Linked DNA regions of Drosophila melanogaster. The protein of the gene in region 2 purifies or fractionates together with the protein of the main gene of each other region. This does not show direct contact. Each region holds a gene or a part of one and is shown on either strand. Other genes may lie near its edges.

What was found.
Region 1: the proteins of RpL22-like (region 2) and RpL23A purify together in Drosophila melanogaster (affinity purification with western blotting, with the first as the bait; one study listed by BioGRID). This does not show direct contact.

What each region holds. Positions count from the first base shown.
Region 1 is NT_037436.4:1,659,575-1,675,578, forward strand, and holds RpL23A (ribosomal protein L23A), read right to left. Parts: upstream 9,081-16,004; 5' UTR 9,053-9,080; coding exon 9,022-9,052; intron 8,648-9,021; coding exon 8,235-8,647; intron 8,162-8,234; coding exon 7,772-8,161; 3' UTR 7,524-7,771; intron 7,468-7,523; 3' UTR 7,428-7,467; intron 7,391-7,427; exon of another isoform or gene 7,318-7,390; intron 7,256-7,317; 3' UTR 7,208-7,255; intron 7,172-7,207; exon of another isoform or gene 7,091-7,171; intron 7,023-7,090; 3' UTR 6,980-7,022; exon of another isoform or gene 6,794-6,979; 3' UTR 6,714-6,793; downstream 1-6,713. Other genes in the region: Srrm234 (Serine-arginine repetitive matrix 2/3/4), read right to left, coding at 272-416, 1,535-1,591, 1,653-2,018, 2,133-2,807, 4,346-4,447, 4,958-5,196; CG7974 (uncharacterized protein), read left to right, coding at 5,677-5,792, 5,847-6,460, 6,516-6,670; RabX5, read right to left, coding at 9,391-9,449, 9,505-9,730, 9,781-9,914, 9,977-10,041, 10,101-10,202, 10,263-10,510; CG13930 (uncharacterized protein), read right to left, coding at 10,898-11,114, 11,169-11,384, 11,445-12,886, 12,949-13,131; CG7991 (uncharacterized protein), read left to right, coding at 15,548-15,593.
Region 2 is NT_033778.4:23,239,166-23,254,103, reverse strand, and holds RpL22-like (ribosomal protein L22-like), read left to right. Parts: upstream 1-6,210; 5' UTR 6,211-6,326; intron 6,327-6,378; 5' UTR 6,379-6,380; coding exon 6,381-7,319; 3' UTR 7,320-7,494; downstream 7,495-14,938. Other genes in the region: yip3 (yippee interacting protein 3), read left to right, coding at 9,271-9,287, 9,345-9,452, 9,503-9,959.

The DNA.
Region 1 (16,004 bases), on a different chromosome or scaffold from region 2:
TGGGTCAGACGTAATAATTAGTTGGTTGTTAGTCAAGGGATGAGTCGTACAATAAAGGAATAGAAATATGCATATGTTACAATATTTGCAGTCAGGTGTCTCGGAGAAGGAGCCCCAGAGATCAGAGCCCTTTGTTGGAGCGTTCGATTCACCCAATCTCGCTCTACTTTCGTCCAACAATGACCTCCGCTCATGGGCTCTTCCTCTTCGCACCTTTCTCCAGCTCCTGATAGCTAATGTGCACAGGTTGGGAGCTCTAGCTCCTGCCTACCTTGTCCTTCTTGGCCTTCTTTCGGACATTCTTCGACTCGCGTCGCTCCTCCTCGCTGCTGTCATCCTCCTCATCGCTATCCCGGTCGCTGTCCCGGCCACTCTCGCTGTGCTTGCGCTTGCGCGACCTTTTCTTCTTTGACTTACTGCAAGTAGAAGGGTGGAGTTCGATAAGAATGAGTGGATCCGTAAGGGCACGTTCATTCGACAGCTAATCGAAAGTGTTCTTTGGTGCTGGCTACGAGACACAGATTGGAAAGGGCGCTTTCGGTAGCCGAAAGCCTAGAGCTCCAAAGTACTGGTTAGCAGCAATGTATAAATAGGTTGGTTTACTTGTGGTTCAGTGCTTTACCTTCATCGAAAACTGCGCAAATGGCTTTGTCTTAACATTATAGAAGGTAATCATAATAATAGAAAGAAAGATGAGAAAGTAATTCGCTTTTAATTGTTGCAACACACAGAGAGACCTCTTAACGTTATCGTTTATTGTATGGTTGTAAGTTCTAGTAGTTCTTTACTTGTGGTTTTTGGTATTGTAGTTTTAGTTGGCAATGCAATTTCTATGGTTTTATTGTAGATTGTAGAATCGAATTATTACTTACCGCCGGGCAGAGTTTTGGGGAATGTGAATGGGCGAATTTTGGGCGGGGGGAGTATCTGTGAGCAGTTGTATCAGGTTAGATGGTTAGTTTGGATCTGATGGGATGGGTTGGGTTGGGATTTCGAGTGGTTGGTAGGTAGGTGCGTGTAAAGTGTTGGCTAGTGGAGAACCCATACGTACTTAGATCCCTGATCACTCTACTCACTCTCGCTGCACACGGATTCAAATAAAAGATTGTCTTGGCAAGTGTTAGGATATCGAAAGTATATATTGCAGAAAGGCATTTGAAACATTTCACTTGATTGGATTGGTTCTTATAGCTTGTTGAATAGTGTTAGCTTTGTTAAAACTAAGTGTGAGTCATTTGTACGTGGCTTTTCGCTTCTTTTTACTTTCTTTCTCATATGAGTCCCTTTTGTGGTTTCAAATGCAATGTAAAAGAAGGAGTAGAGACGAAAAACAAAATGTATTAAGCAGTTGATTGATAGTTACATAGTATCATTGGTTTTCACGCTCTAAGCGCACGTGTTTACAGTTTACTATGTACGATAAGGAACAAATCAAAAGTCATGACTGTAGAGTCCAAAGAAAGAGCAAAGGAAACAAACACAAAGCTACGATTGTCGAGGGTTTCAAGTTTCGGATTCCGGCCAGGACTCTTACCTCTCTTTCTTGTGCTTCTTCGACTTCTTCTTCTTCTTGCGCTCAGGACTGGCCGAACTGAAATCCAAATCCGAAAGTAAATCCACCAGTACAGTACAAGTCGCTACCATCTACCCACCTCTCTCTGGCGCGCTTCTTGCGCTTCTTCTTGTCCGTCTTGGAGACATGATCGCGTTCGTCGCCATTGGCTGCCGCATCGCCAGCATCGCGATCCCGTTCGCGGGAAGGAGTACGCACTAGGGCATACCGCTTCCCGGTCTCCTTGTCCTTGCCGGCTGCTGCGGCAGCTGCCGCCGCTGCCAGGCTCTCGCGCTGGGCGTCCAGTTCCTTTTGGAGAGCCACGCTTTTGGCCAGGTCCTCCTTCGCCTTGCGATCACCGTCGAAGCTGCTGCCCTCGACAAAGTACTCGGATATGTTGAAGGCCTCGCGCAGCCTGGCGTTCTTCTGCTGTTGAGCCTCGGCTATTTGATGGGTGTCGCGAGCACTGGAAGAGAAAGTTGTGCGTTTAGTTAATGAAGTACTAAGAAAAAGTATGTGCCTCAATCATAAAATCTAAAATGTATGTATTTTCTGGTTCCCCCCTTCATTAAGTGGCTACCTTGTGGCCACAGCACTGCCGGCTCCCAGCAGTGTCCCCAGCAGACTGCTCGAGGAGTACTTGAGCAGCTCGAGCAGGACGCTGCCATCGATATTGATTTTCATCTGTGACGAAGGCAGCTCCTTCTGGATGGAGTGCTCAGCTGTTCGGTGGGCCGGCTCAAGTGCCGGCTCCGGGTCCTTCTGTTGGCAGGCGCAAGCGCAGTCCGGGTGAGTCCTCTTGGAGACTGCTGGTCGCCTGGTCTTGTTGGCGCCGCTTGCCAACGCCGGCCGCAAGGGCTTAAACTTTCTGGCCACCGCCGCGTAGTTCCACGTGTGGGCGGTCAAACGGAAGCTCTCGTACTTGGCCAGGTACTCGCGGTTGTCGTGCTGGAAGTAGGGAGCCTTGGTCTTCCTGGCCCCATTTGAGGTGGCAGACGGAGCAGAGGAGGCGGGCTCCCCGGTTTGGGTGCGGGGACTGCTGGTTTTGCTACCGGGAGTGCTAATGGCGGCGCTCTTTTCGGTGGTGGTGGTGGTGATTGCGTGACCTGCGCGTTTGCGTCGCTTGCGTCGTTTCTTCGGTTTCGCCACCTTCACCGTGGTGGCTTCCGTCGTTGTTGTCATCGTTGATGCAGTGGCCGCCGAGGCAGTCGCTGTGGTTCTTACTGCAGCCGTTGCCGTGGATGTGGTGGTGTTGCTATAGATCTCCGAGGAGAGCATTTTTGCCTTTAAGGATAAGTATTTCACTTATGATATCTTTGGATCTGCTTTTATACAAGATTATTCGTATTTAACGTAAAGTTTTAATCCATGTGTGTGGAAGACAGTGGATATTAGGCTTTAGTTTTTTTTATTCCGCGGGTATTTTAACTTTAATTTGTATTTATTCTGAAAAGACGTTACTTCAACTTCATATATCCATGTTATTGGAAGACGATGGATTTTAATTATACTTGTTTTCGGATTTTTGATTCGCGTTTGTTTTATATATATATATTTTTTTATGTTGTATATAATATATGTTTAAATCCATGTAATTGGAAGACAATGGATTCGCAGAATGTTTATGCTTTATATAAATACAAAAATAGTTTTCCTTTACAATATACTTTGCTATAATTTCATCGGTTACGATTGGAAGACGATGGATTAGCATATATTTGGTTTTACTTTCGGCTACATTTCGTAGAGCCCGTGATGTTTTAATAAATCCTTATTCATCTGGAAGACGTTGGATAGTTTTATAGAAATATTGGATTATATTTGCTATGGTTATTTAATTTACTCCGCTGAAGCAACTACGCGCACTTGTCTTCTTCACTTCGCGACTTATACTAATTAATTACTGACTATGTTTGGAAGACTTATTTAGTGATTTGTTGCATTCATTCGGCTTATGTATTGAGCATTACTCCTACTGGCCCTGCTACCTCATTTAAGGGGCTCCACTCTTAGCACTTGCAACAACCACTACAATAATCCGCAGCTCGAAAGCGGCTGGCAATGCTGAGTTAGGGGTGAACCAAGAGCTATGCGACACCACCACCACCGGCGCTGGGTTTTCATTTATCGGGTGCGTATGCAGAGCTACTCCTCCTCGGGCACACTTGAAGGGCTTTTGCTGGCTGGGTGCCAAGCCCTCCCTCCAGGTCATTGGGATCTCGTGTTTTATTTTAATTTTTTTTCTTTTGATTGCTAGGCTTATGGATGCATTTGCTGCTGAGCTCCTGACGGGGCGGATATCGATTTTTCCAGCGATTTTCCAGCGCTTATCGTGCCTTTTTTACCAGGTCCCCTGAGACGGCTCCTCTGCGCCACCTCCATCGCCAGCTCCTCGCCAAGGGCACTTAGTGGGTCGTTTTAGCAGGCGGTTATTGCTTTTAATTTGTGTGTAAATATATCTGGCTGCTACGCGGCGTTTCCTGAGCGCTTTGGCCAACTTGCTGTGGCTTTGGAAGACTTGAAGTGACTGAAAGCCGTGCGCATCCCGGAAAATCTTTGCAGCAGCTTTTTCTCTACCATGCGACGCCTGTGATTGGCCCCCGAATGAATGAAAGAAGGGGTGGCGAGTTGGGCGCTGCGGCGGCGCATGTCTTTTCTTGGATGTGGTTTACAGCTGTCGTGCGCTGGCCGAGATTTGAGCAGGCCTTCGGTTTGTTTAAGAGCTTATTGATTTGTCCACTGGGCGCACGTTTTGCTTTAAATTACATAAGCTATTAAAAGCGTGGTACTTACGCTACGCGTCCGAATTCATCTTTGGCCAGATCTGTTTTGCCCTGTCCCATCAACTTCTGGCGGAAGGAGTCCACCTGCGACTTAATTTCCTCCGGGGTGCGTCTGTAATAATTCAATTTTAATGGATAAGATAATTAGCGTGGCTCTATATCTAAAGTTCGTAATTCTACCTTTAAGACTAGCTTGATTAGCTCAAAAAAGGCTTAAATATGGATGATGTTTCACCTATCTAGATTGTTAAATTAGCTAAGGAGTGCTTAGATTTCAGTCCGCTTGCCCGGACATGCGGATGTCTTTCACTCAAAATAATCTCTACAACTGAAATGCACTTTTTTCACCACCAGCCGAGTTCGTGCCACCGGAAGAGTGCTCACATGTGACGCACCGAGCGGGTGGAGGAAGCCCTGCCCGCGTAGGGGTGGCTCGCCAACGGGCTGGGGGTAGTTCAGTGCTCAGTTCGGCGCGTGTGCGTCCGCTCTCTGGCGTGCAGGAGCAGCTACCAGGCGCCAATGTAAACATAAACAGCGAAGGAAGCAACAGCCCCAGGCCGGCGTTATATAACCCGGATTGACATTACATACTGGCATGTAATTGCCCATGTCCCCTGCTCACCCCTGCTTCTCGAGAATGTCCTCCAATTCCAGGCACTTGACTTCGATCTTGCGCTTGCGGTCGTGGTCCAGGATCTCCTTGTTCGGCGGCCGGTTCAGCTGGGCGTCCAGCTTCTTCGTGTCGTCCTCGGCGCGGTAGTCCTTGTCCTTCTTCCCGGGCCGCACACATGCCCAATTCCGCTGCACGTGCCCATTGGTGCCGGAGCCACGGGGCGTGGTCAGGCCAATGCCGTTGTACATGCTGGTCTGCGATGTCCTGCAAATTCCTCTTAACTATCAACGACTCCCGGCGGCCACTGGGTGCTCCACCAACGCTGCAATTGCACCACACGAAAAATCGATTTCAGTTGCAGTGCAAGTGGTGTTCGACTTGTCTGGCTTTCTCACCTCTGTTATATGTCCTGCGGCGCTGCTATCCAAGCGCTGGCTTTACTAGGCTGCCTAACTTTTCAGTAGTTTATTCCTTTTTGTCAAAATATTCGACTAGATATGCGACAATATGCCGCCCTCAGTGTGACCAGATGACAAATGTCGCCTAAATGCTCCCTAGCTGTCAATTCCACAATGAAGCTAACATGAGTGGATCCTGTTCAAAGCAACGAAGTGGATGTTATCAGTGAAGTGAAAATCGGCGAAACGGGCACACTAATAGCTAAACGTAAACAACAATATTACACTTATTTTATCTTAAGAAATATATAGATTTATTAGTCTAAAATCATGAGCGATGCAGAGGAAACAAAAGCAGAAGCCACCACCAAAGTGTTGTTCAAAAAAGCCGGTCGAAAAAACCTAAGGCAACGCAAGAATTCAGACGAAGAAGAAAAGGAGGAACAGTAAGCCGTCAACAATTAGAAATGAATTAAACTAAAGTGTTCATTTCTATACAGATTAACGCTAGATGAGATTAAAGAACGCCAGCGCCTCAGGCAGCGACCCAATGGCGTCAGCCTTGTGGGACTGGCGCTGGGCAAGAAGATCGCGCCAGAAGAGGAGCTGGCCATCAAGGATCCCTTTAATGTGAAGACCGGTGGTCTGGTCAACATGAAGCAGCTGAAATCGGGCAAGATGAAGGAGGCGGACGACGCCTACGACGTGGGCATTGGCACGCAGTTCTCGGCGGAGACGAATAAGCGGGATGAGGACGAGGAGATGATGAAGTACATCGAGCAGGAGCTGCAGAAGCGCAAGGGAGGCGGCACGGAGGACGCAGCAGAGGACGACGGTGATGTAAACAAGTACCTGACCCCCGAGGATGCCGCCCTGTACGCCCTGCCCGACCACCTGAGGCAGTCTTCCTCGCACAGATCGGAGGAGATGTTGTCCAACCAGATGCTCAATGGCATTCCTGAAGTGGACCTGGGCATTGTGGCCAAGATCCGCAACATAGAGGCCACCGAGGAAGCCAAGCAGAAGCTGCTGCAGGACGCCAAGAACAAGAAGGACGGACCCTCGCAATTCGTGCCCACCAACATGGCGGTGAACTTCATGCAACACAATCGATGTGAGTTCCCAAGTGTGAAACGTTTCCGCGGATACTAAACCTTTGTTACTTCCAGTCAACATCGAGGACAACAGCGATCAAAGGAGGCGCAAGCGTGAGGAAAGGGAGGGCAACAAATCCGCACAGCATCAGACGAATCCCAATGGAGTCAAGCGAGCCACAGATGACTACCATTATGATAAGTTTAGGAAGCAGTTCCGCAGATACTAAAGATACGAGTGCCAGCAATAAAATGTACAATTGTTTAGGTTCAGGATTCTGTTTTATTTCTATATATATTTCAATTAAATGTACTTTAAGAATTAACTCATTAATCCATTAATCGGGCCACTTCTGTAAAAATAAAAGCAAACACTTGGTTAGTTATGCTTCACAACGATGAACATATTTGCTTTTATGCTTGCAATCAGTGAGAGACAAAATTAATTTCAAAGCAACGAATGACTGAGGCTCAATGAGATTCCTACTCAAAATATCATCACAATAAAGAAGTTGTCAGTAACTAAAACAGATACACACCTTATAAGAAGTTAGTCCAGAGAATCGGGAAACAATGGCGCAACTGAAATGAATTAAAAAAGAATTGTTAAATAAAGCGCTTTAAGAGAAGCCATTGTTGTTTGAAATGATTTGATCAGTGGGAGATTAAAATTGATTTCATAGCTACAGGTAGCTCAATGAGATTCCTACTCGAAATATCATCAGAGCAGATTACAATTCAAACTACTCCATCCGAAATATACACACCTTGAAGAATTTCATATCCAAGGATCCAGATACGAGCCAGATTGAAAACTGAAACGAAATAAAGTCTTGATTAGCTTGGTTTGGTTGAGTTCAGCTTCCTTGAGCATAATGCTATCAGTGGAGATAAAATTGATTTCATGGTTATTTCAATGAGATTCCTACTCGTAATATCATCAGCTAAGTGTTATACATTAAAATTACAAAATAAAACTTTAATTACCTCTTCGTTTAGCAAGTTAAGCTTCCCATTTAAAGACAGCCTGCGATAGAAGGTAGTATTAGCAAATTGAAAGATTGCTTGTTATTAAAAACTCACCAATTTAGAGCGCTAAAACCTGAAGTATCCAATCTGAAAGAGAAAACTGAAAGAAACTCAGAACCCATTGAGCCCACATTGAAAACCCACACTTAGTTTTTGAGTGGTTTTATTAAACCCAGACAACTTTGAAACGTTCATCCTCGCTCTACCGTGTCAGCTTAGCATTACTTTGTTTATAGAAAAGAATCTACATATAAAATGTAGAACGCGATGCCCATTCCACACGTTACCGCAGATTGCAGCGCTTATATGATGCCGATCTTGTTGGCAATGTCCAGGGCGTCGTAGTCGCGCGCCAGGCGCACATAGGCCTTCTTCTGGCCATCGGGCCGGATGAGCACGTTCACCTTGGCCACCTTGATGTCGTAGAGCTTGCGCACTGCGGCACGCACGTGGTTCTTGTTGGCGCGCAGGTGTGTGAGGAAGACCAGGGTGTTGTTGTCCTCGATCTTCTTCATGGCCGCCTCGGTGGTCAGTGGGTACTTGATGATGTTGTACGCGTCCATGCGGTTCCTGGTGGGCACCGATTTCCTGGGGTACTTGGGACTCCTGGGCAGCTTCAGGGTGGTTGGCCGACGGAAGTGCACGTTGGTGCGGATCTTGCGGGCACGGGTGCCGAAGGCGCCCTTGATGATCTGTTCGAAAAGAGCAACAAAGAACGAGGTTAGTCCGAGTCGATCTCCTCAATATTAAGCAGCTGATGCACACCTTCTTCTGGACCTTCTTGGCGTTCAGCAGAGCCACAGCCTTGGCCTTGGCGGTTCCCTTGGCGGGCTTGGTCACGGGCTTCACGCCCTTCTTGGCCTTGGCGGCCGCGCGAGCCTTGGCAGAGAGCTTGGCCAGCACGGACTGGGGCTTCTTGCCGGCGAGGACCTTCTTCTTGGCATCCTTGCTCTTGGCCTTGGCGGCCGCGGTCGTCTTTACGGCCGCGGGCTTCTTGGCAGCAGCACCGGCGGTCGCTGGCTTCTTGGCGGCCGGAGCAGCCTTCTTAGCCGCTGGGGCAGCAGCCTTCTTGGGCGCAGCGGCAGCTGGCTTGGCAGCCGAGGGAGCAGCCTCCTTCTTGCCGGCAGCGGGAGCCGCAGCAGTCTTCTTCTGCTCTGGCTTCTTGTCGCCAGGCTTGGCTGTAAACAGAAGAGCGCGGAGTCCACGGATTAGTAAACATGTTCGGCTCTCGACGCACAAAGTTAGGTTAGGCCTGATCGATCAGCAAGGCAATGGGACGCTTTCCGACTCATCCAGCTCCATTCGAATAAATTCAACTTTGGATTGCTCACTCGGTTGCTATACTATCCCATTCTGAACACACACTTGGACATTCCCACGCAGACACACCGCACGTGGCCGAAACTACGGATTATCTGTTCGAACACATTTATGCCTTAAAATCACAATATTTCGCACAAATTCGATTGCCTTCTGGTGGGCTGAGCTGTCGTCTCCCTTTTGCTGATCGATTCACGCATTTTTCGCATATTTTTGAATGAAAAATCCTTACCGGATTTCTCGGTTGGCTTTTTGGGTGGCATTTCTACGAGAAAAAGAAATGAAAAGGAAAACTGAGGGGCAGTTGTCAAAAGGCGGAAGCCCGTTTTGACAGGAGGGTGGCCAGATAGCTGGAATTTGGCACGCATTCAGTGCGTTTGGCAACACTGCTGCGGCACTTATTAGCCGTGTCTGGCTTGCTATCTTGACACTGTGCGCGTGCAACACAGCCGCAAAAATGAGTGGCAACGCTAACGGTGTTTAAAATGTAACGGTACTTGTTGAATTCGAATTTAAAGCGAAAGAAGTAACCAAATTGTTTAAAACTGTTTTATTCAATGTCTTACGTTAAGCTAAAAATACAAGTTGTGCAATCTGCAGGCTAGCAAGTACAGCCACTTTTCTGTTGCGAGAGGCGGCTTCCAAAGAAGTTGCGTAAATCTAAATAAGAATAAATATAAGCTGATAGGATAAGAATTTTCGAATAGCGGCTTACCAAAAGTTTGCGATTTAACAGATGCCTGAGTGGCCTGTTCCTGAGGCTTATTCTTAATAGACCTAATTTCCTGCATTACAGCCTCTTCAAAGGCCAGGGCAGCGATCCTTTGGAATAATTCCGTAACTTTGAAGCCAGATCGCGCCGAAACGGACCAATATTCCGCCTGAAGCTCGGCGGCTGCCAACCCTGCCAGTCGTTCCATGCGTACAAACTCCTCCTTCGACTGAAAAGTAAGTGCTATTACTTGAATCTTTTGTTGGAAAGGTGGTTTACCAAGAGGTCTGCTTTTGTGCCCACCAGGAAAACCAAGGGTCTCTTGCTTGCATTGTAGTTGAGTGCGCTATTTAGCCATTTTTTTGCCGACTCCAGCGAATCCTTCTTCGACATGTCGTAGGTGACCACAATCACTTTGGTTATGGATTTGTATTGTTAAAACTCTCTCCTAATGATTTAATTAGTTGGTACTTACCACTCGCATTGCGATAATAGGCTCCGGCGATGCACCTGAAGCGCTCCTGACCAGCAGTGTCCCACCTGCAAGTAGAGCACATTTCAAAACCAAACTGATAGCGCCTTCTAGGCAGTTGACCCACATTTCCAGACTGTAGTTGTGACCCAGAATGCTGAAGTTCTCCAGCTCAAAGTCCACGCCAATGGTGGCCTTGTAGTTCGACTGAAATTTGTCGTAGCAAAATCTGCGGATGATTGTGTAAGTTAATTAATTTAGTAATGCCTATATGCCATGCCATGCTCACCGATTGACGATGGCCGTCTTGCCCACGGAGCAGTCGCCCACGAAGATGACCTTGCAGGGTCGAAACTTGGGCTTGCGAGGCGCCTCTAGGTAGTAGCGCACCTGCGCCCCAAAGTCCCGCTCCTTGCTCAGCGGAGTCTGTGCGGCACTGTAGGCGGGTGGCAGGTGCCGCAGGTGGGTGCGAGGATCGTGCAGGACCACCGTGGGCGGTTGGGGTAACAGCAGGTTCTGCCGCAGTCGATGGGGCATGGCGGACGTCTCTATTCCAACTAACTAAGCAGCTCAAATTGGGGAAGCCAGCCACGTCGTCGGCGTCATCGCCTCCGCCGCAAACCACAAACTTGGTCGGCTTGAACTTGGTGGCTATCACATGCCCAAGGTGCCGAAAGCTACCTTACACCCCCTGCTTTGCATTGCAAATGCAGGTGCTCGATAAGAGCAGCTCGGGTGTGGGTTAGTTCCGATAGGGAGAAGGCCTTAAGAGCTGAGCTTTAATATTGGGCTGCCATTGTATCCATATCATTAAACCTTCAAGCCCGAAAGGAAAACGCTTTGGATTGGTATTTGGTGGCTTTATTTGTGTCAATCATAACACTCATACAATGGCTTATGGTTATAATATCTTGATTAATCTAATCAAGCCCTTGTTTGCTTCGTCCCACCTGGATAGCCAAAGTAGCCGACGCTCTTCACCTGCTTGCGGAGATCGGGTTGCATGGAGAGGGCCTTGAAGATGGCTCTCTTCAGCTGCTTGTACTGAAAGTGCGGCGGGAATGGCATGTCCTCGAAGGACAACATCAACAGGTTGCCCGCCTCGTTTCCCACGGCCAGCGAACGGCCGCAGTGGGTGAATCTGGAAGGCGAGGAGATGCGATAGGATCATTCAAGGAGAAGACTCTGAACTCACTTGAAGGTGGTGTAGAAGATGTCGGCGTCTATCACCGTGGAGGACACCGGCTTCATGGTGCTATTGCGCAGGTCCCAGATGTCCACGGTGCTGCGACTGAGCGAGACCAGGATGGTGGAGTGAGTGCGGCTCCAGCGGGCGCAGTGCACCGGGGACAGGTGATGCTGAAGGGTCACGATGGGCAACAGGATTCCAGCCAGCCAGATACGAATGCACCTGATGGGGACGCATGAGTGAGGATAGAGAAACCCGGAACAAAATCGCAGTTGATCTCACCAGTCGCTGCCGCAAGTGAGGTACATCCTTGGTGACCAGGGCGAGAACTCCATGCAGGCGGCGGGTCCATCGTGCACCTGCCTTAGTTCCAAGTGCTGCAGCGGGTAGTTCGTGGAGCACTTGTACAGGGTACCCTCGTCGGTCAGCACGTAGTATATGTCCGACTGGACAGGATCGAGCACAATCTCCAGACACTGCGGATGCCTGTTGGCCAGGAGGGAAGCCGCCGGAGGCTGTCGCTCGATGGGAATCCCCTCTAGCTCGCCCTCCGCCCGCTGCAAACGCTGCTGCTCGAGTCCCAGCATATTGGGACTATTGATCAGCCGGTACTTGGTCACCGCCCCAGCCTGCGAAGTGGCCAAGAAGGGCGTGATGTGCGGGTTCCTGCACCCAACATCGCCCTCGAAGTAGATCCATTTAATGGCCGTTACTGGCTCGAAGTATGGCGAGGACAAACGCTGCGATACAGCTAGTGGTGGCAGATCCTGTCCAGAAATATCCCTAACCTCCACACCTCCGTTGTGCAGTCCAATGGCCAGCAGTTGCGGTTGGGTGGGTGAAAACTCCACGGTGACCACAGGCACTTGGTAGTGGTAGCGTCGTTCCGGATTCACAGGGTTCTTGATGTTCCACACGTAGACCCAGCCGGATCTGGGTAACTTGCTGACCTTGCCGTGGCTGTACACCCCGTAGGCCACCGCCATGATGTCCCCATTGCTGGGACAGAAGCTCATGTCGCTCACCGCTTGATGAACCTTGGGATCCGACGAGGGGGGGCTCAGTCGCCACAGCAGGCCCAGTCGGTACTTGAACTTGACGTCCTCGGCCAAGGGATCTGGAGGAGCCATGTTCCTGTACCTCCGTTGCTGCGGCTCGAAGACATTGCTGGCCAAGATGCGCATGGTCAGCATGAGGGCCAGTCGAAAGCCGGGCAGGCAGTTGATCCCCACGAACTGATCCACCCCGCCCACGTGGTAGGTGGTTATCTCCATCTTCTTCGCGCCCTGCACCTGGACACTCGTGGTGGACTTCTCCAGGTCGGTGTACGTGTCGTACATCTCGAAGTTGGACACATAGGAACCCATCTGGGCGGTGGTCAGCCGCTCGGTGTTCACCAGCCTGGACTTCATCAGCGCCGTCATGGTTTGGGTGTCCGCATCGACGGTTCTCCGCGTTTTGTCCGTTCCCGAGAGCAGTTCGTCGTACTTCCGGTTGTCCTCCATCACCTGGCGACCCTCCTCCGTGTCCGCCAAGGCGGTCATGCTGCGCCGTTCGAATAGCACCACGATGGGAGTCTTTCGGAGCAGCACCTTGATGAAGGGCGTGGCTGGAGGACGGGCGGAGTGGGCGGAGCGGGCGGAGGAAGCAGGCTCCTTCAGATAATTCGGTTCCTCCAGAGTGGGCGACATGGGCGTGTCCAGCTGCAGCTTGTAAAGATTGATCTGGCGAATAAACATACTGTATGGCTTGATTTCTTTGGACATTAAGGATGATAGGCACTCACCCCCAAGGCAATGTCATCCAAGGAAGCTCTCATCACGCACTTCGTTCGGTACTCCGGCGTACGGAGCTTATGGAGTTGCTGCTGCTCCGCTCCGGGCTCCTTCATCAGCGGATGGTCCCTAATCATCCTGCTCAGTTGCTCGAAGTCCGCGGTGCGGTAATCCTTCCTCAAAGGTCGCGACATCCTTCTCAATTAATTTGAATGAGCGCGTGCCGCCGATTTCCCAACTTGTTTACTGCGTGTGCAGACATGGCAACGCAACAATGGTGGATACAATATATGGGTGCCATAACTACCAAGTGCTGTAGTTGCACTCCGATTGCAACACGGAATTCCATTAGCAGGCTCACACATGACTGCACTCATTGCGTCCATAAATATTTATAACTCACATTTAAATCGCGCAACAAAAGTGCATAATAAGTGGGTTGGTAAGCAAAAACGTATATTTAAATATGAATGTAGTTCCAGTTGTGCAATGAAGATGAAGCCACCATAGTCTAACATCAATTTGGATCATTACCTTTAGTGATTCCAATAATTTGCGCGGCTTTCTGACCTGTCACAAGAAAAATCCCCCAACCGGAGAAAAGCAAAACAAACTATAAACTACAAAATACAAACTACAAACTACCAACAAATGAAATTCGTATTCATATTCCAATTAGACAGTAGAAGAATAGCAGACGGAAAATAGTTAGATGGTATATGGTAAAAAGGTCTTTAATTCCGCCACATAGCCGCATAGGAAATGGGCAAAAGATGGGATGAGGAGGAGCACTTGGCCATGTGGGCGATTGAGAGCAGCAAGCCGTGCAGCACACTGAACGAAAATAAGATCGGGTTAAGAATGAAATATGATTAGGTTAAGTGCTCACAGCAAAGAAATGTATCTACAGAGAAATTATTTCAACATGAATCCCAAACTATAAATATGACAATCTTAATTTGAAGATAGCTTGTAATAATCAAAGCGATTTTCCGTGTATAGAAGATATGGAAGTCGAAAAGAAGTTGTTTATGTTAATTTGGCTTTATGCTTCGCTACGCTGATTCGCTTGATGAACATATAGCAAAAAAGAGGGCTGATTATGAGGACGACGACGACGACGACGACGATGACGATGATGATGAGGGGGCCCAAACCGAGCGAATATGGCCAAGTGCACTATGTCAAACGGAGGGGCACACGGCAAGCGGGCAACTGATGGCCAAGAAGAACAAACCATCAAACCGTCAACGCATCAAAGCGTTAAGTAATAAATGTGCAGGCAGCCAGCGAAAAGAAAGAGTTAAGAGCAAAAAAAAAAAAACAAATCCAAGCGGGCTATAAACAATAGTCGCCTGTCTTGCAGGTTGCGTGCATTTTGAACTCTGCACGAGCCAACGATCGTTGTTGTTGGCCGATTTGGCCAGACTCTTGTTGTTGCTGTTACACATTTTGGGGGCAGCAACAACCACCTACAGTCAGCGAAATTCAGTGAACCGCCACCAACGCGACGCCAACTGCGACGCCGGCGGCGACTGCGCAGTCAGCGCCACACTGAATTACATCTTTGAGGTGTTGAAAAATATTAATAATATTTTAAAATTACACTTTAAGTTTAAGACTCAGTTCTGTGATAGCTTTTTAATGGACTAACCCAGCTTGTAAGCAAGCTGATACCACTGATGTAACTACCTTTTAACTCCAGCCAGTTGTTAGCCATGTTTGTCCAGTGTTTGTGAGATAATTAATAATTTTGTCGCCAGCCCGCAAGAAACGAGTCTGCGGAGTGGACCCTGTTTTGAAAAGTGAAATAAAACGCCACTTTTTACGAACATCTAATTGTGTCCGCACCCTGGAAACCCATAAAACGCGCCATCTCCATCTCGATCCAGCCCATGGGCTGGCTATTAGCCATATGTCGCTCGCATTCAGATCGTCTGGGCTTCTTACACCTGTTTTATGTCCCCACTGGCCCCAATGTGCGACGACTGCCCCTTTCGGAGCGTCGACTGCGCCGCCCGGCGTTTCGGTGTAACACATTTTCAGTTCGTTTCCATTGTGGCAGGGAGCGCGGAAGACCAGCGAGCCAGCGAGCCAGCGCGCCAGACGAGAAGAGCTGGCGGCAGAGCGAGCTCAAGTCGAGCTCGGAGGTTTTTTTTCGAGGCAGCGGAGCGACTTTTTATTCGTTAATTAACCGTCGAGCGGGCCAGAAGTCCGAGTTGCTCGGCTTAACGGAAGTGCTGAAATCGGGCGGCTAATTGAGCACACCTCGCCTCCAGTTGACACCTGAGACACCTGAGGGAAAAAACGAATTGAAACCACTCCACATAGCTCGGGTCATAACTTTCCTCGCTGGCCGGCTGCTAATGTCTCAATTTGTTGTGCGCGTTGGGCAAGTGCAGTTGCCATTCAGCCGTGGCTGTATCTGAAAGATACAATTCGGGAGAGCTCGGTTCCTGAGTGATTCGAAGTTTATGCTAATCAGCTGTGTTGCTCCGCGAGAGGGATCATTTCGCCATAGACCCACACCCGCATAGCCAGTGATCACATAACGAAATAACGAAACCAATCAGCAGACGATCTTATCAGCGCCAAAAGAGGAGGAACACAATGTTGTTTTGGAAGAGGCGTCTTCAGCGATCGAGCAGCTCTTCGAGTAAGTCCCCGTTTCTATATGGCCAAGTTTGTGGGAATGGTGGTAATGGGGGACGGGGGACGGGACCACGCCTCCAACGATTGGGCAACAAGAAATATGATTTCGCCGGGCAGGTGAATTTCGATTTTCGGTCCAGTGACAAGCTCGAATATTTTGGCCTCGACTCATCTGCATAATTTGCATCTTAAGCATTATTTCTGGCTGTGCCCAGCGACTGGTTTATTGATTTTATTTCAGTGCTTCCCTGGCCAAGATCGTAAATTCACCCCGCTGGGCTTCATCACCCACAAAAGACTTGGACAAATACAAATGGGAGCGCGAGCCACGCGGGACATGAATAATAGCTCATATCTGGCCATCGAAATTCTCGCCGAGGTGTTCCCTTTGTGGATGACGATTGCCCAGAGATTT
Region 2 (14,938 bases):
TCTACATGTACATGAATCGCAGAATACGATATAACATATTGATGCGAAGTTATGGAAATGAGTTGCACAAGTATCGAGTTCAATTTAGTGTGAATTGCTGCAGGCCCACATCAATATAATAAGCTGGTGAAAGCCAATCACTACTCGCGATATTCGGTGATATGACACTTTCCCATAGTGGCACATTTGCATACTGGCTATAAATATTTTACAAATACAAGTTGACCCATTTCAGAAAATCCAAATGGAACTAAGGTTCGGTGTCACCATCCTCTGGGTGAATCTTCTTCTCAGCTGAGACCCACTCAGCCGTGCTGAAGAGCTCCTTTCTCTTTCCCAGTTGGTCCATTGTCCACGTAATCAGCTCAAGAGCGATTATCTTGTGCGGCACCATCAGCATCTCCAGCTGGGCAAATAACCCACTCCTCGGAGATCGGAACTCAGTCTGTTTGCCAATAGAGAGGCCGCTGTAGCCGGCTGAAAACTGCAATTCATCAACTCAAATCAGAGGAGGCAGGGGCCGCTGATCCACACGTCCCAAGTCTCCTGGCGGCAGTTTGCCCACCCACAGTGGCCACAAGTCAACGAGGTGATTTGCATGCAGTCATGGGTTTCGGTTTGGTTTTGCTCTTGCTCTTGCTTTTGGCCAGGCTCTCAATGGGGAGCCGGATTAGACGCGACACTGATTGGGCCCGTGACCAGAGTTGTCGCCGTGACGAGTGCAACAGTTCGAGTTGTTCAATGTAACTGGCTTAAATCTTATGGAGGATCAGGTGTCTACTTATTAGTTTATTTGCATCCAATTCCTCTACATAAACTATGTCCAATTGAAGTTTTATTTGGATGCGAGTGCAGCATCTGATTTCTGAAACTTCTTAAACTAGAAAGTCTCGTAAGTAAACTCGGTCAGGCGGCGCGGGGAGCACTTTACTCCAGTTCTCCCCCCGATCCCAATGGCAATCCCCATCCATTCCCAGCCCGTTTCCATTTCGGGACCCATCCGCATGCGTTACGCAAATTGAATTCGTTGGCTGAAAATTTATGCAACGTCGCGTCGGCCAAGAGAAAAGCAACAAGAACAATCGGGGGATATATGTTTGGGGGGGGGGGGGGGCATTGGGGGCAGGGCATATCGGGGACCTTCGGCGACTGCTGGTGTGTGTATTTGGACAATGTACTTGGACGCAGTCCGATATCGACAGAGTTGCAGCAGCAACTGCGGCTGCAACTGCATGTAAAACTGGCAACTGGAAGCTTCGGCCGGCGAGCGACTGAGAAATTTATGCTTTGTTTTGCCTTGGCGATACATGGAACATCAATTCTCGTTAACTTTTCATGCACGACTGGGCGATGGAACATGAAATGGATATGGATATGGACTCTCGACTCCCGATTTTCGATTCTCGATTCTTTGCGGAACCACTCGACCCAGCCGAGAAGAAATGCGCAGAACAATCAAACAGAGAGTTTTTCGAATCCAACGCCATGAGTGGATATTTAAATTAATAGAATCGAAGTCTGAATGGCTGGGTTTACACTCAAAACGAATTGAATACAAATATTTGCATATGTACATAGTATATATCAAATATATCCAACAAAATATAATCTGCAAAGTGCGATTCTTCGATTCTTACCTGCAATATCTAATCTGCTTAGCACAATTGATTTATGGTTTCTTTAATTAAGCTGTGAACAGAGAACAATAGAAATGATTTACATATCTGCAGCTGGCCAGAAAAAAATTGCAAAACATGCATCAATTTGCGTTGCATGTTTTGCTGAGCACTTAATTAAACTCATTTCTAGATTTCACAGCAGCTGTGTTCGATTTAACCGCAACACATTCGATTCGATTGTGCGAATTTATCAATTGTTCCTCCTGGATTTGGCCCAGACCTTCCGCCCAATTGAGCATCAAACACGACCGACTTGCTGGGAACATAAACCGCAAATTCGTTTTATTAACTCACCCACGTTTTTTTTTTTTTTTTTGTTTCGCTATGCATGAAACGAGCAACTTGGCTGGGTGGGTGTAACCGAGTGGGTGGCTCTGGGTCACCCACCTAAAATGGGCGGGTATGCAAAGCAGGCAAGGAGAGCGGGATGACCTTCGTGACAAAGAGCACGGCGACAAGTCACAACAATTGCCTGGGCCATTCAATAAAAATGCAAATTAACTTATCAATTACAACGCCCAAACAACAATAAACTGCACGGCCATTCGAGGGATTGGCCTACTACTAGCCACGTGCTACAAGGACCTCTGGCTGTAAGCAAAAAAAAAAAAAAAAAAAAAATAAAGAAGAAAAGAGGGAAAGAGGGAAATTTTTGCCGAGTCTGGTCCAATCTTGTGGCCACTTCTCCGGCCGGAGTTCCTTTGCTCTCGAAACGGTTTTCTTATGCAAATTGCCAGCTCTAAAATATTCCGGGCTCATAATTTTTATTTCCGTTATTCGAGTTTCAAGATTGTACTACATACTTGTTGGCGCATCCCCCACTGCTTTTCCCGGCTGGCTCTTCGAGAGCTTTTCCTGCGCCTTTTGGGAAATTTGCCTTGCTAATATGGCCGAAAAGCGGCACAGTGTCTGCCAGGTTGTCTGCCGACTGCTCTCTTCCTTTTCCTTCCCGGCCAATTCCTGGCGCAATCATCCCCCTCCTCCGAGCGGCGAAATTGGTGGCACAGTGGGTGGGTGGGTCCGAAGATATCGTGGACATAAATGACATAAGTTACGACTGACAGATCAGATAACATCTTAATTTAGGGAGTGGGCGAGAGCAGAGTTCAGTTGTAGCTGGGGGCCGCTTTCAAGTTAAGTGATTGTAATGGCCCACACAAGGCACGGAAAATCTCAAGCAGGATCGAAGGGCTTCCTACTCCGCAAGAGAGGCTTTTCCAAAGCAGATGGAAAACTTTAAACGACTACAATTGTTGTAGAAACTTCAAAATTGCATTTCGTTTTACTTAGTTGATATTACAATGTATAACAATTTGAAACGAGCTACCTTTCTATGGATTATTGCATTATTTTTTCGAGTGCCAAAACCTTTTTTAACTGCAATCCCAACACCTCAGCGCAATCGGCTCAAATGGAATGTTGCTGGCCTGGTCGAGATTTGCTCGTCACTTCTCGAAAGCCTCCCACAGAATTTTCACACAGTAGACCGCTCCTGGCATCACCGCGTCCTCCTCTAGTTTCTCAGAGCCCTGTAATTTTACGGTCAGGTCCAGAATTGAAGCATCACAAAATCAGAGGTGGCCGCTGAAAAATGCAGGCCGGCACGGAAGTGGTCAGCAGGCGGAGCCCCAATGATTCTGATGAGTGGTTTGGGCTTCGGCTTGGACTTTGGGTTTTGGTATGGGGCCTGGTCTGGTCATGCAAGGCGCATTTTCGCACTCACACTGCTCTCCGTTGCTTTTCCAGCAAGTCAGACAAATTATGGCCACGATTTGACTTGGGCTCTTCGAGGAAAAGCAGCTCCTACTGCTGGTCAGGCGATAAGCATTTGCGTGATTAATGAAATGTGTGCCCGTTCCCCTTCCCTTGCTCCAAACGCAAAAGAGTTGCGAAAGGCCTTTCCATAAATAAACAATTAGGTCTCGCCACCCGCAACCGACTTTCCATTCTGCAACTTCAAACTCCGACAATCCTGACTTACTGGCTCACAATGGGCGGGCTTTCCCGCTTTTCCCGCCTTCTTGCCGCTAATTGACTCGCACTCGCCCAATTAGAACTCGTAAGCGGGCACGCTTTGCCCATTTGAATTTATATTGGAAATTAATTTAATTAATAGAGCGCCTGGAACGGGAAAGGAATCGGATGTAGTGTGGGTGTGGAGTCACCTACCAGGTGTTGTATCCAGTTCCCAGTTTCCCTGGGCTATCGCAGCGGGAAGTGTCAAACAGTCAACTCAATAACTGTTTATTTTGGCTGGCACATTGCCAATTTTGGCCTGGCTGAGTCAGTTGGTAATCGTTTCGCCTTATTTTTTTGGCCAACTAGAGCACTCGTATATTGTGGCTGGTAGATTGGCAACTCTTTTCTGCTGGGCCATGCATTTGCATTTTCTATCTCAATTGGCGGTTTGCATTTCATTAGCCTGAGCAGTTTCGTTAAGCTTGCCAATTTATGGCAATAAAGGTGTTAAGAGCTTGGTAAGATCTATTCGAATGGTATTTTATTGGTATTGGTTTGGGACCACCCATGGGACCCATTAATTCAGCCACAAATAAACATTTTCCTAGGCAGAAAACGGATTCTAGATGCAAAAATATCGAAAAATATTAATAACCCATATATTAATCTGTTAGTTTACATATGTATCATAGATCATTTTAATTGGCACGCAAATTCCCGGTATAAATCAGACCATTTTAAAAGCATTTTCCGCCCCTTCACTCTACATGACTGCCGTCTGGACTCCTCGCAAGATCGTGCTGCCTGCCTGCCCACCTGATGTCGAAGTGATCGATGTCCCTGGACAGCCGTTGCCATCCATAACGAGGCAAACTCCCAGGCCAAAGACGCCTCCGCACTGCCAATCCCATTTTCCGCTTTCCATCCGCCCATTTGCTACCGTTTAGCCAGATTGATTTCGGGCCAGAAGCCGCACGACTCCGCCGATCATTCCTCCCACTTTTCGCAGGGGGCGGAGGGCCGTCACGCCCACCGTTGCAGTTTTCCCATCGCCCAATCGCCAATGCCGGGCCCATCAATCAACTTCGAGTGCTCGCAGTGAGCGGGAGGTACTCCACTTGCTTCTACCTGCCTCCGAATCTCTGCATCTCCGAATCCGCGAGGAGGACGCGGCAAGAGGCTGCGCCTGGGAGCGCTTTTGGTTGTAAAAATCGTTTCGGCATCATTTTTCATATCCGCAACCGAAACAAAACCGCCAAAAAAAAAAAGAACCAAAACTACCAGAAAACAATATCCAGTCGGCGGCTGGGAAATCGAGTAGCATCCTAACTGCAGGAGCTTCATGCGGCGTTGGAAAAACAGTGGTACGTACCCGAAATACCCTAGGGTTGACTTCTCCAATCTCTATTGCGAGTATGGAAAGGTCATATAAATGTACCAAAGTCGCCCTAAATCTCACTCTTTTGGTTTCTTCTTTTATTATAAACAATTTAGGATGATCCAAAGTCCATTTGAATAGTAATACCCTCTGTTAGGGTATGAGAAGGTGGATAGATGGGCTTGGGTTATGTTTCGGTGGCCAGGGGTGCGTATACGTGATCGCTGCATTTCTTTGGACGTTCCGCGACGCTTTGTTTGCGCTGCCATCGACACCCCTGTCCCGCCCCTCCTGCCATCCTTTTTAAGCCTTGTTTGCTCTTGGCAGTGGCAAGCGAAAGAGACGGCTGCAACGAGACAGAAAGAGACAGCACGAGGGAGAAGGTTTCGATGTAGCGCGAATTTGTTGCAATTTCTCATTGTCAGCGAACGCGTTCGCCGGTAAGTTTTGATTAAACGCTCCGCGGGAATTCACTTTGGCTTGCACTTTTTGCTTTTGTTTTTATTTTTTATTTTTCCTGCCGATAGGAGGTGGCATCTCCCATCCACAATCCCAAATCCCAGTTGGTGGCCAACTCTTTCATTTGAATTTGATAAATGGCGCTCGTTGCAAAGCGATATGTTATGCAATTTAGGGATTTCCTTGTGGCTTAAAAAATATTGAAGCGATAGCTAAATGTTTGTACAACTCGGAAATAAATGAACTGGCCGACAAAGAGAGTGGAAGGTGATGACACTTTAAACAGGCTTTCGGAATTCAATTTGCCTAGCATTGGGAAAAGTTGAGCTATCTCTGTGGATTCATGTGGATTCCACTTTGGTAACTTATCTCGAACCTGTGTGCGCAAGTTTAAATCGATTTCGATCCACCACAATACCCTATAATAAAAGAGCTTAAAAGGGAGCTGGTATAATATGAAAACTACAAATTACTGAGGCCGAACTGGAGGCGAGACGACAAACAAGGCCAAATTGATCCCCGGCTGACAAGCGGTAATAATAATTTCGTGCCAATTAATCAGCGTTAAATCAGAGCGTCAACATCCCAACCTGCTCCACACTCATTTCTCGTGATTTCACTTAAAGATTTCCTGTTTTTTTTTCACAAACATGCCGCCCAAGATAATCGAATAATTGGCATTCGCATTCTACGTAAGCACAGTCGATTGTGAGCAAGGTCACACGGATCGCAAATGCAGTTACTTTCTGATTGTTGCTACACTTGGCCACTCTAATTCTTTTCCTGCCAAACTTCAACGGAGGAAGTCACGTGGTGTTTCTAAACCTATTTTTGATACTAATTTCTTTGGAGTAAGTTAATTGTTTCAAAATTTTAGGCGTGTGCTCATGTTTTGCCATATAGGAATGAGTTCCCAGACGCAGAAAAAGAATGCTTCCAAGGCCAAATCGAAGGCGGGCCCACAGCCGTCGAAGAAAGCCCCGGCTAAGGTGACTCCTGTAGAAACCGCCACCCCATCTGCGGCTCCGCCTTTGTCCTCTAAAAAGGTGGCCAAAGCTCCGGCCGTGGCACTAAAGAATCTCGATTTGGCCATGAAAGAATCGGCTAAGAAGGCCGCCGAAGCTGCTGACCAGAAGTTGGTCTCGAAGGCGAAGAAAGGCCAGAATGCTTCACGCAAGAACTTGATGCAAGTGCCGGAACCCGTTGCCCCTGAGGTGGACAATAAGAAAAAGTCTGCGCCTCCTAAACGTGGCAATGCGGAAATACCCACGGTTGTCCCCGCCAAAAAGGCCGCCCTGGTGCAAGAAAAGCCCAAGGAACAAGCTGCCGCAGCACCAAAAGCCGAAAATGTCGAGGTTCCAGCAGCCAAAGCTAAAAGTGTAAAAAAGAGCCTCGCCACTCCGGCAAATCCGAAGCCCAAGCCGAAACGCACGAAGAATGTTCTGCGTGGAAAAAGGCTGGCCAAAAAGAAGGCTTGGCAACGCTTTGTGATCGACTGCGCATGCGTGGCCGAGGATATGATCCTGGACCTCGCCGACTTCGAGCAGTATTTGAAGACCCACATCAAGATAAAGAACAAGCTCAACCAGCTGAAGGATCAGGTCACTTTCGAGCGCACCAAGAACTTCTCGCTGATCATCCACTCCGGTGTGCACTTCTCCAAGCGCTACTTCAAGTATCTGACCAAACGGTATTTGAAGAAGGTCAGCCTGCGTGATTGGTTGCGGGTAGTGTCCACGGCCAAGGACACCTTCGCCATGACCTACTTTAAGATTCAGGACAAGGACTTTGATGACGACGACGACGACGTTGCCGACGACAATGGCGGAAAAACCTTTGCCTAAAACAAAGATCGCATTTCGAAAACATGTATATCCCATGAAAGCTGTTCAAGTGTGTAGACTTCTTAAATTTCTCAGTATACTTCTGTTAAATTTCCCACTTGAAGTTTCACTAGTTCTCAATGTGGCTCATACAATTTTTGCTCATTTGCTTCAACATATTCAACGATGAAATATCAATAAAAAAAAAAAAAACCCTAACAAGAGTATATCATATATGTATGTATTCTCATCCGAAGCTGCAGAGTTCCCTTGAAGAACTTAAAGATTTCATTTTACGGTCAGTTAGGAGGAAGGAGCGGAGCGTTCCTCGGTCGAATCGACTTAAACTTGAACGATTGACATCTCGGAGAGGGCCTCGAGTGGCATTCGTCATGTTTTGATTGGGAGGAGCCAGTCTTGTTTTCCTTACCTTTTTACGCTTTTGTAAATACCTTAAATTGCCCCATTGGACGGGATTGTGTTCGATGCCAGGCGGCTTAATTGCTTCGCTGTGGGTCTGCCAAATGGACGAAACCATGGGTGGGGATCAGAGGGTGCTCCTCTGTCAGCAGTTGGCCCGGCCTGGCCGTAGGTGGTCCATAACGAGCTAATGAAATGCGAATCCAGCCAAAATGCGAACAGCGAGGCAGCCCAGTGGAGTGAGTCAGGCAGGCAGCTGTCAAAATCGAAATCAACCTGAGCACTCGCAGGTTGGCTTCTTTTCGACTTGGCCAAAAGAACACAAAGGCTGGGCAAAATATTCACGATTGCCGCCTGGAAGGGAATACAAAGCGAAAATAAACATAAACGTCATGCAAATCGTATGGTAATTGCTGTCATCGCCGACTCTTGTCAAAACGGGTTGAAGTGTTTTGTAAATGCCAGAAAAAATTAAATTCCAGACATGCAGACGAGTACCAATAATAATAATAATAATGTAATAAGGGGCTTGCGATGGGGGGGAAGTCAAGAGTGATCCACACGCGATTATTATTTTGTCAAATGGGAAAACGATATCGGGCCAAAGCAGAGAGAGAACAGCCTCTGTCAAAAGCCAATTGGCCATTGGTAATTGGAATAGGCCTGACATCCAATGGTGATTAAAGTTAATTGAACTAACACCCATAGTTGATAGATGATGGCGTTCTTTGTCAAACCGAATATACCAACGTAAAAAATACTTTAGCATGTGTTAATTAGCATTAACGCTATTTTATTTAATTAATAGTGCACATTTGTATGATGTATTTCACTCCCTTGAAGAGCCACTTTTTGCAGCAAATAGAGCTGGCATTAAAACAAGTATTAATTTTGAACCCTGTGTCAGGGCCTTATTAATTTGAAAGCAAATCCCTTGTGACATGGAATATGAACCGTGCAATCAAGTTGGCTTTTAATTGTGCGTCAAACATTCAGATCCAGAATCTTGGTAATAGGCTCAAATCCACTCCGATTCTAGGTAGGTTGATCCCTGTTCCTGCTTAGGCTAATTAACACATCGATTACATCGTTGCGCGGACAGTGTGTGTCTTTAAATTGATAGGCTCGTTAAAGTGTCTACCATTCCGAGGCCTTCTGGTCTTGACTTCGCCAACTGGTTGGATCTATTTTTAGGGCCAGCAGGTGCAGCTGCCTCGGAAACTGCGCAGAGACGCGTTTCTCGGCCAGTGCCAACCAGTTGGCGAGACCCCATCATCATCATCGCCATCGCCATCTGAAGATCGCCATCCAGCGTAGGTGACGGACAGCCTCGGGCTGCCAATATCACTTACTTTCAGACAATGGATAGCCACACAGGCGTTGACGATTTGTTGGCCTTAATCTACTTGAGCAAATATTAGTTTTGAAAGGTCTTTGTACCCAGCTCAAGTTTATTTTCTACTTCCCAAGCCCTTTTAAAGTTTTAAAGAATCTTTGCAGCTCATTTAACTGGCACTTTTCTGCTCGAACGCTTTTGGGAGTCTATTTGAAAATGATGGAAGGTGAAAGGTGAGTTTGTGACTGAAATCATATATACTTTTACTTACTAGCTATTGATTCCCACAGTTCCAAGTCGATTCAAGGCAACATCGTGGGTCTTAAGAGTACCAACGCCGTGATACTGGCCACCGACTCGAAGGAATACGAAATGTATCTAATAGATGACCGCATTTAGTAAGTCTATTCAATTTGCAATGCCTTAAAATAACTTATTAATTATTCAGCTGCTGCGCACCTCGTTCCGGCATCGATCGGAACATAGTTCTGGAAGTGAGTTCAAAGGTGGCAAATCTAGTCCGGGATCGCGGCCAGAATGTGACCGTGTCCCAGGTGCGGGACATGTTTTGCGAAAAGTACCAGACCGCCGAATCCCCAAATGTCATGATAGCTGGCCAGGACAGCAGGGGCCTTCACTTATTCAGCATGGAGTGTGGAAAGTCACGCATGGTGATGTATGGTGCAAAGGGCAGAGATAAGGAGAACATTGTGGACTTTCTCTCGAAAGACTGGAATGATTTCATAAACCTCAGCGAGGCTGAACAGTTGGCCAGGAAAGCGCTTAGGTGGGAGCACGTGGAAATGTGCACCATCTATAGGGCTAAAGAAATCGAGGAACAAGGTGCCAACATGGACTTCGATATGGACGACGAGACCTCTGTATCGCCGGCCAGCAATTTCTAGATCCTCCTACTATCTACATGTACATAGTAGTTAATTGTATCATTTCGATTTATGTTCATATAAATGAATGGTGGCTGCTCCACTGCCCCCCCCCCCCCTGTAATTAGCCACATTTCTCAGCGTTTTGCAAGTTGGCCTAAAATAGATTAGCCGCTCCTCCCACTGGAAATGGTGCAGCGCCAGCACAAGTGATTTATACTCCTCCGACCTGGCCCTTGGATAATTAATAATGATTAAAAGCTGGCGCCCATCAGCGGGCTGGCAGCTCAGAGTCCTTGTACCCGCTATGGGTATGGATATATAGCTCTATATAGATCCCCACTAACCAGATCCGCTCGTCTGCCTCCGGGGATCTGGGGACTGAGGCGATGTCCAGCTGTGCGGATTAACTTGAATTTATATGTTGTGGCTGCATTTGAATAATTTCATATTCGAGCTGGCAATCGGGATCTCTATCTTTCTCCTCCTCGCCACGCCCCCTTCCTTTGCGTCCATCTCCCCTGTGCGTGACCAGGCTCCATTTTCCCCTACTCCTGCGTCCACTTGTGTGGTCTTCCTCCATTGACAGCTCTTGGGTGGCATTATGCTGTCTGCTCCGGATTTTCACTTTTATGGCCTGCAAACCGGCAGTTGCTAATTGATTTCCACGTAGATTGGACTCGTAGTTAATCGGCTGCTCTTCGGTTTAAACGGAGCTCAAAGGGATATGATATGAGATACTTATACTTTCAGATTAGTATCTTCGTAACTTTCGTTCCATTCCCTTTCCATTTAGCTCGCTTATCTTAATCAAAGCCTTATCACCCTGTGCATTATTTTGGCACATTCAAATTGAAACCCCTTTTTCGGTTGATAAGCAAATATTTCGCCAACACTTCAATCCACTTCCCGCATTTATTAACTTCATTTTCGGTTGTGCTTTTGCCCGAATTCGAAAGTGTCTGTCGAAAATAAAATGTCATTGGCCAAGCGATAAGAAACGAGAGGAACAAGCCGAAAAATCAAACATCAAATATTCCCAATAAATTAAATGCGGCCAGTTCCAAGAAGGACCCATCCTCACTTGTTGGTTTTTTTTTTCAACTGGCATTCAATAATAATTCACTTTCGATGCGGCCAAAAGTTGCGAGGAAGCTGGCCCTGGGGATTCGGGGTGCCTCTGAATGCGGAATCGAGTGGTGCTACCTTGTGATATCTTTATTTACCTCAGTCCAGTCAAAAAAAAAAAAAAGGGCTGAAAAAACACAGAGGTGCAGAAAATGCAGGCAGTGTCACCTTTCGGCGGCTCGAAGTGGAAATATATTTATGTGGCATGCGAGTTGCAAGGTGTGACAACATGGAAATTTATCTGCACCATCTCTGCAGCACCTTTATCTCCTGACCCCCACCTCCACCACATACCCATCTCGACGCCTCCTCCCGCAATCCGCGTTCCGAGCTCCGGGTGGATTTATATGGGATCCGAGTCGGGATTGCCATCTTAATGCGACATTAAGTCGGCGGAATCTGGGTGTTTGGCCCGGGCAAATATGAGGTGCATTATGTACACACAAGGGATTATCTATGGGTACACATGTTGCACGTGCACCATGGAGCAATGGAATTATCCATTTGGGTGCTTCAAATGGGGCTGAATGCACAAGTACGCACAACAAAAAACATATTAAGTTGCCGCACTGATTAATAAAAAAGTTTCAATCATGCCATTTAATTATATTCGCTGATGGCCATAAAAAAAAAAACTTTGCAAGTTCAACGTTTTTTTTCCCAAAACACTTTCTTGTCAACTGTCTCTGCATAATTGTGCCTTTTTTGCAGCGCCGCTGTTGCATTGGCAACTTTAACGAAATTGGACATGCAACATAAAGTAATTTATTTTTAATTAATTTATAAATGCAGCCACATCAAAAATGGCCAGCGTTGCAAACAGGCGGCGAGGCTAGAGGATCGCGAATTAAGCCCCGAGTCGTAAATAATTTTTATATCTCGCATTCCTTTATAGATTTTAATTTTTTTGCGCGTTTAATTTCAGCTTTATTTTGTTTCATTTTATTTTATTTTTATACGCGCCTCTGCCGCATGCAACAAGCGGCACGAAGTGAGTGTCGCTGACAGCACGTCATCAGCACATTGGGCGCAGGGGGCAGCGGGCTCCGATTGGCCACGCCCACTTATATCGGTGGGCGTGTGCGATGGCAGCAATTTCATTAAAATTTACTGCACACTGCAGCGGCGAAAAAATTGTTGCGGTCAATTAACGTCAGCAACGCGTTGCCATCGCTGCGGCATAAGCCCTACAAACACGCCTCACTCCCCCCACGCTTTTCCACCCCATTTTCCGCCCCTTTTGCTCGGAGTTTCACCACCACCACCCCCCCCCTTGCTCATTAACGGCCGTCGATTTTATTCACATTTCGCATCTGCATGCGCATACGCAACTTTTTGTTTATTATTGCTTGGCGTGAATAAATAAATAAGTTCCATTGACATATGCTCAAATAAATAATAGAGCGCGCTTAAATTATAGCCTGCTGGCTGGTCAGGATGCTCTCCTCCCGTTGGCAAGGAGCACTGGAGGAATCTCCGATGCGGCTGTGAGTTATGATCCTGGCGGCGGCGAGACCGCAGTTCCCGCAGAGTCCCATAACAATGAGCGGTGAAGCCTGGCCTGGAGTCATCGAGACGATGGCGATCGTTTTTAATTTCGCCGGCAACAACGGCGCAGAAAATGACAATGGCACAGACTTGTGAGAACCGAATGAGTAATTGGCGACGATTACATTTAAAGAGTAGGTTATGCTCGCAGCTTTAAACACCACATTAATCTAAAGAAAAAATATATAAATTAAGGTCATTTCGGACTATAAGTAAGTAGCCATGATATGGCCATGACTTCTACACTACACTTCTGGCCAACTTCGCGCGAACCCAATCAAATGCACTTGGCCTAGAGAGAAAGAAGCCCGTCCAATTAATTGATAAACTTTCCCACTAAACTAATTTGATGTTTACGCAGACTCAATCAGCGCCGCAAAGCAGAACAAGTGAAAAGAATTTAATTAAGCTGCAGAAGCCGGCCAAAATGTTTCACAAAATCGAATCTTTTTTCTTGGGGGGGTGTGTTAAATGGGAGCTTCGTACAGAGATACCATGCGATGCGTGTGTCGGAGCCCCCGGGAAGTTGACCCCAATAGGGATCTCGGTTCAAGTTCCCCGCCCTGCGATGGAGGCAACTTATTAGGCCTGCTTGCCGGTGGGCGTGGCACAATAACACAGACCCTCTGCTCTCGAGAGGAAATTGCAGATGACTCGCCCGGACAGCCGAACCGCAAATTAGTTTCGCTGCGGAGCAACTGGGATGCTCCTCGGGATCTGGCTACCAATGTCAGTCGAGTCCGAGCCTGAATAAATATGAAAATATTGTCCAAGTAACCAGTTTACCAGCGACCAGGGCCCGCGGCGTCTTTCCTGGAAACAGAAAGAGCAACCGGAATAACAATAACAACAATCACCCCCATGACAGGCGGTTCTGAAAAAGGGACCGGCTCACTGAGAGAAAATTGTGGCTAAAAGGGGGGAGCAATGCATTAAGTAGGGTCATCTCATTAAAGCGTAGCATATAACTACAAATGCTCATAATGTTGTGTATTCTAAAGATGTGGAATTTCCAAGTGAGTTGATATTTTCTCTCAGTGCAAGGGTCCAGAGCCAGCTTCTTCCCTTTGGAAACTCACTCCAGAAAATTGACGCGAGCCGCGCTCCAAAATCGCTCCAAACGTTGTCATCGTTGTCGGGTTGTTGGGTCGGTTGTTCCATCTGCATCTGCATCTCCATCTCGGCATCGCGCGTCCTCCATATGGGCGCACTTGGAGATGCCGGAGATGAGATAAGCTTCCATACTCCATACTCCACACTCCAGACTCCACACTCCAAACTGCATGCTCCTGCCCGCTGCTTTTTGTTCATAAATTATAATTTTATGATCACGAACATATTCGTGGAACACTCGTTGTTTGCCTCATTGTCGCCAGCTCCCAGGGGCGTTAAATATTAAAGTGTCTGGAGATCTGGTGTACTGGAGGCTTGGTGGACTCGCAGTCTGGATTGGCACTTGGAAATTGGCTCTGTTCTGTGGCCTTTGGTCCGTGGAGAGTGTCATCGTTTGTGTTTACACTAATTGAAGAACTCTTCGGCTGGGGCCCTTCAATGTCACGGATGCTCCCAGTTTTCAGATCTCTCCCTTTTTCGCTGGATCGTTAACTTGCTTTATGGCCCTCGTTCGGTTTCTGGCCTGAAATTAGTTTGTTTTAGCTTAGCCGCCTTTGAAACGGGGTGGTGGTAATGATAAGTTGTCTTCTACGATTTTATTGAAGGTCGTAAATCAATTAACTGGCCCTTTCTGGCACTCTTTCTATTCGGGCGACAGCTGAATTGTCGCAGATATTGACTTGTTTATGCGCTTTAATTACCATGCGGAGTGCCAAAAGTTCAAATTTAAGTTATGAGACCAACTGGCTGGAAACTTTCCATAAAATCGGAATATGATTGAAATAATTTCGAAATCTCTTTTAAGTGCGCTCAAAATTATGCAACACTCTATCTGAAAGCCCTGCTCTTTTCAAACACTGGAGTTTTTTTCATTATTTTGTAATTGAGTATCCCACCCAAACCCTTTTATTGCCGCCCCCATTGTTGGCCGCGAATTAAACTTTTAAATCACTTTTCGCACATCGCCTGGATGCAAAAATATTTGCATACACGACATCGGGCAACATAACAAACTGGCTGTTTGCTTTTAATTGGTTTCCATTTCGGTGCCGTCCGTTTATTTACTATTTGCATGCCCCGCCCAATTTTTTAATTTATACAAACATTTCACTTTGTTAGCTTCGGCTAAAACAAATTCAAATAGTTGCAGTTCCAGCGCGCTGTCCCTGAAAATGGCTCAGTATTTTTATGAGGCATTTATCGATTTATTA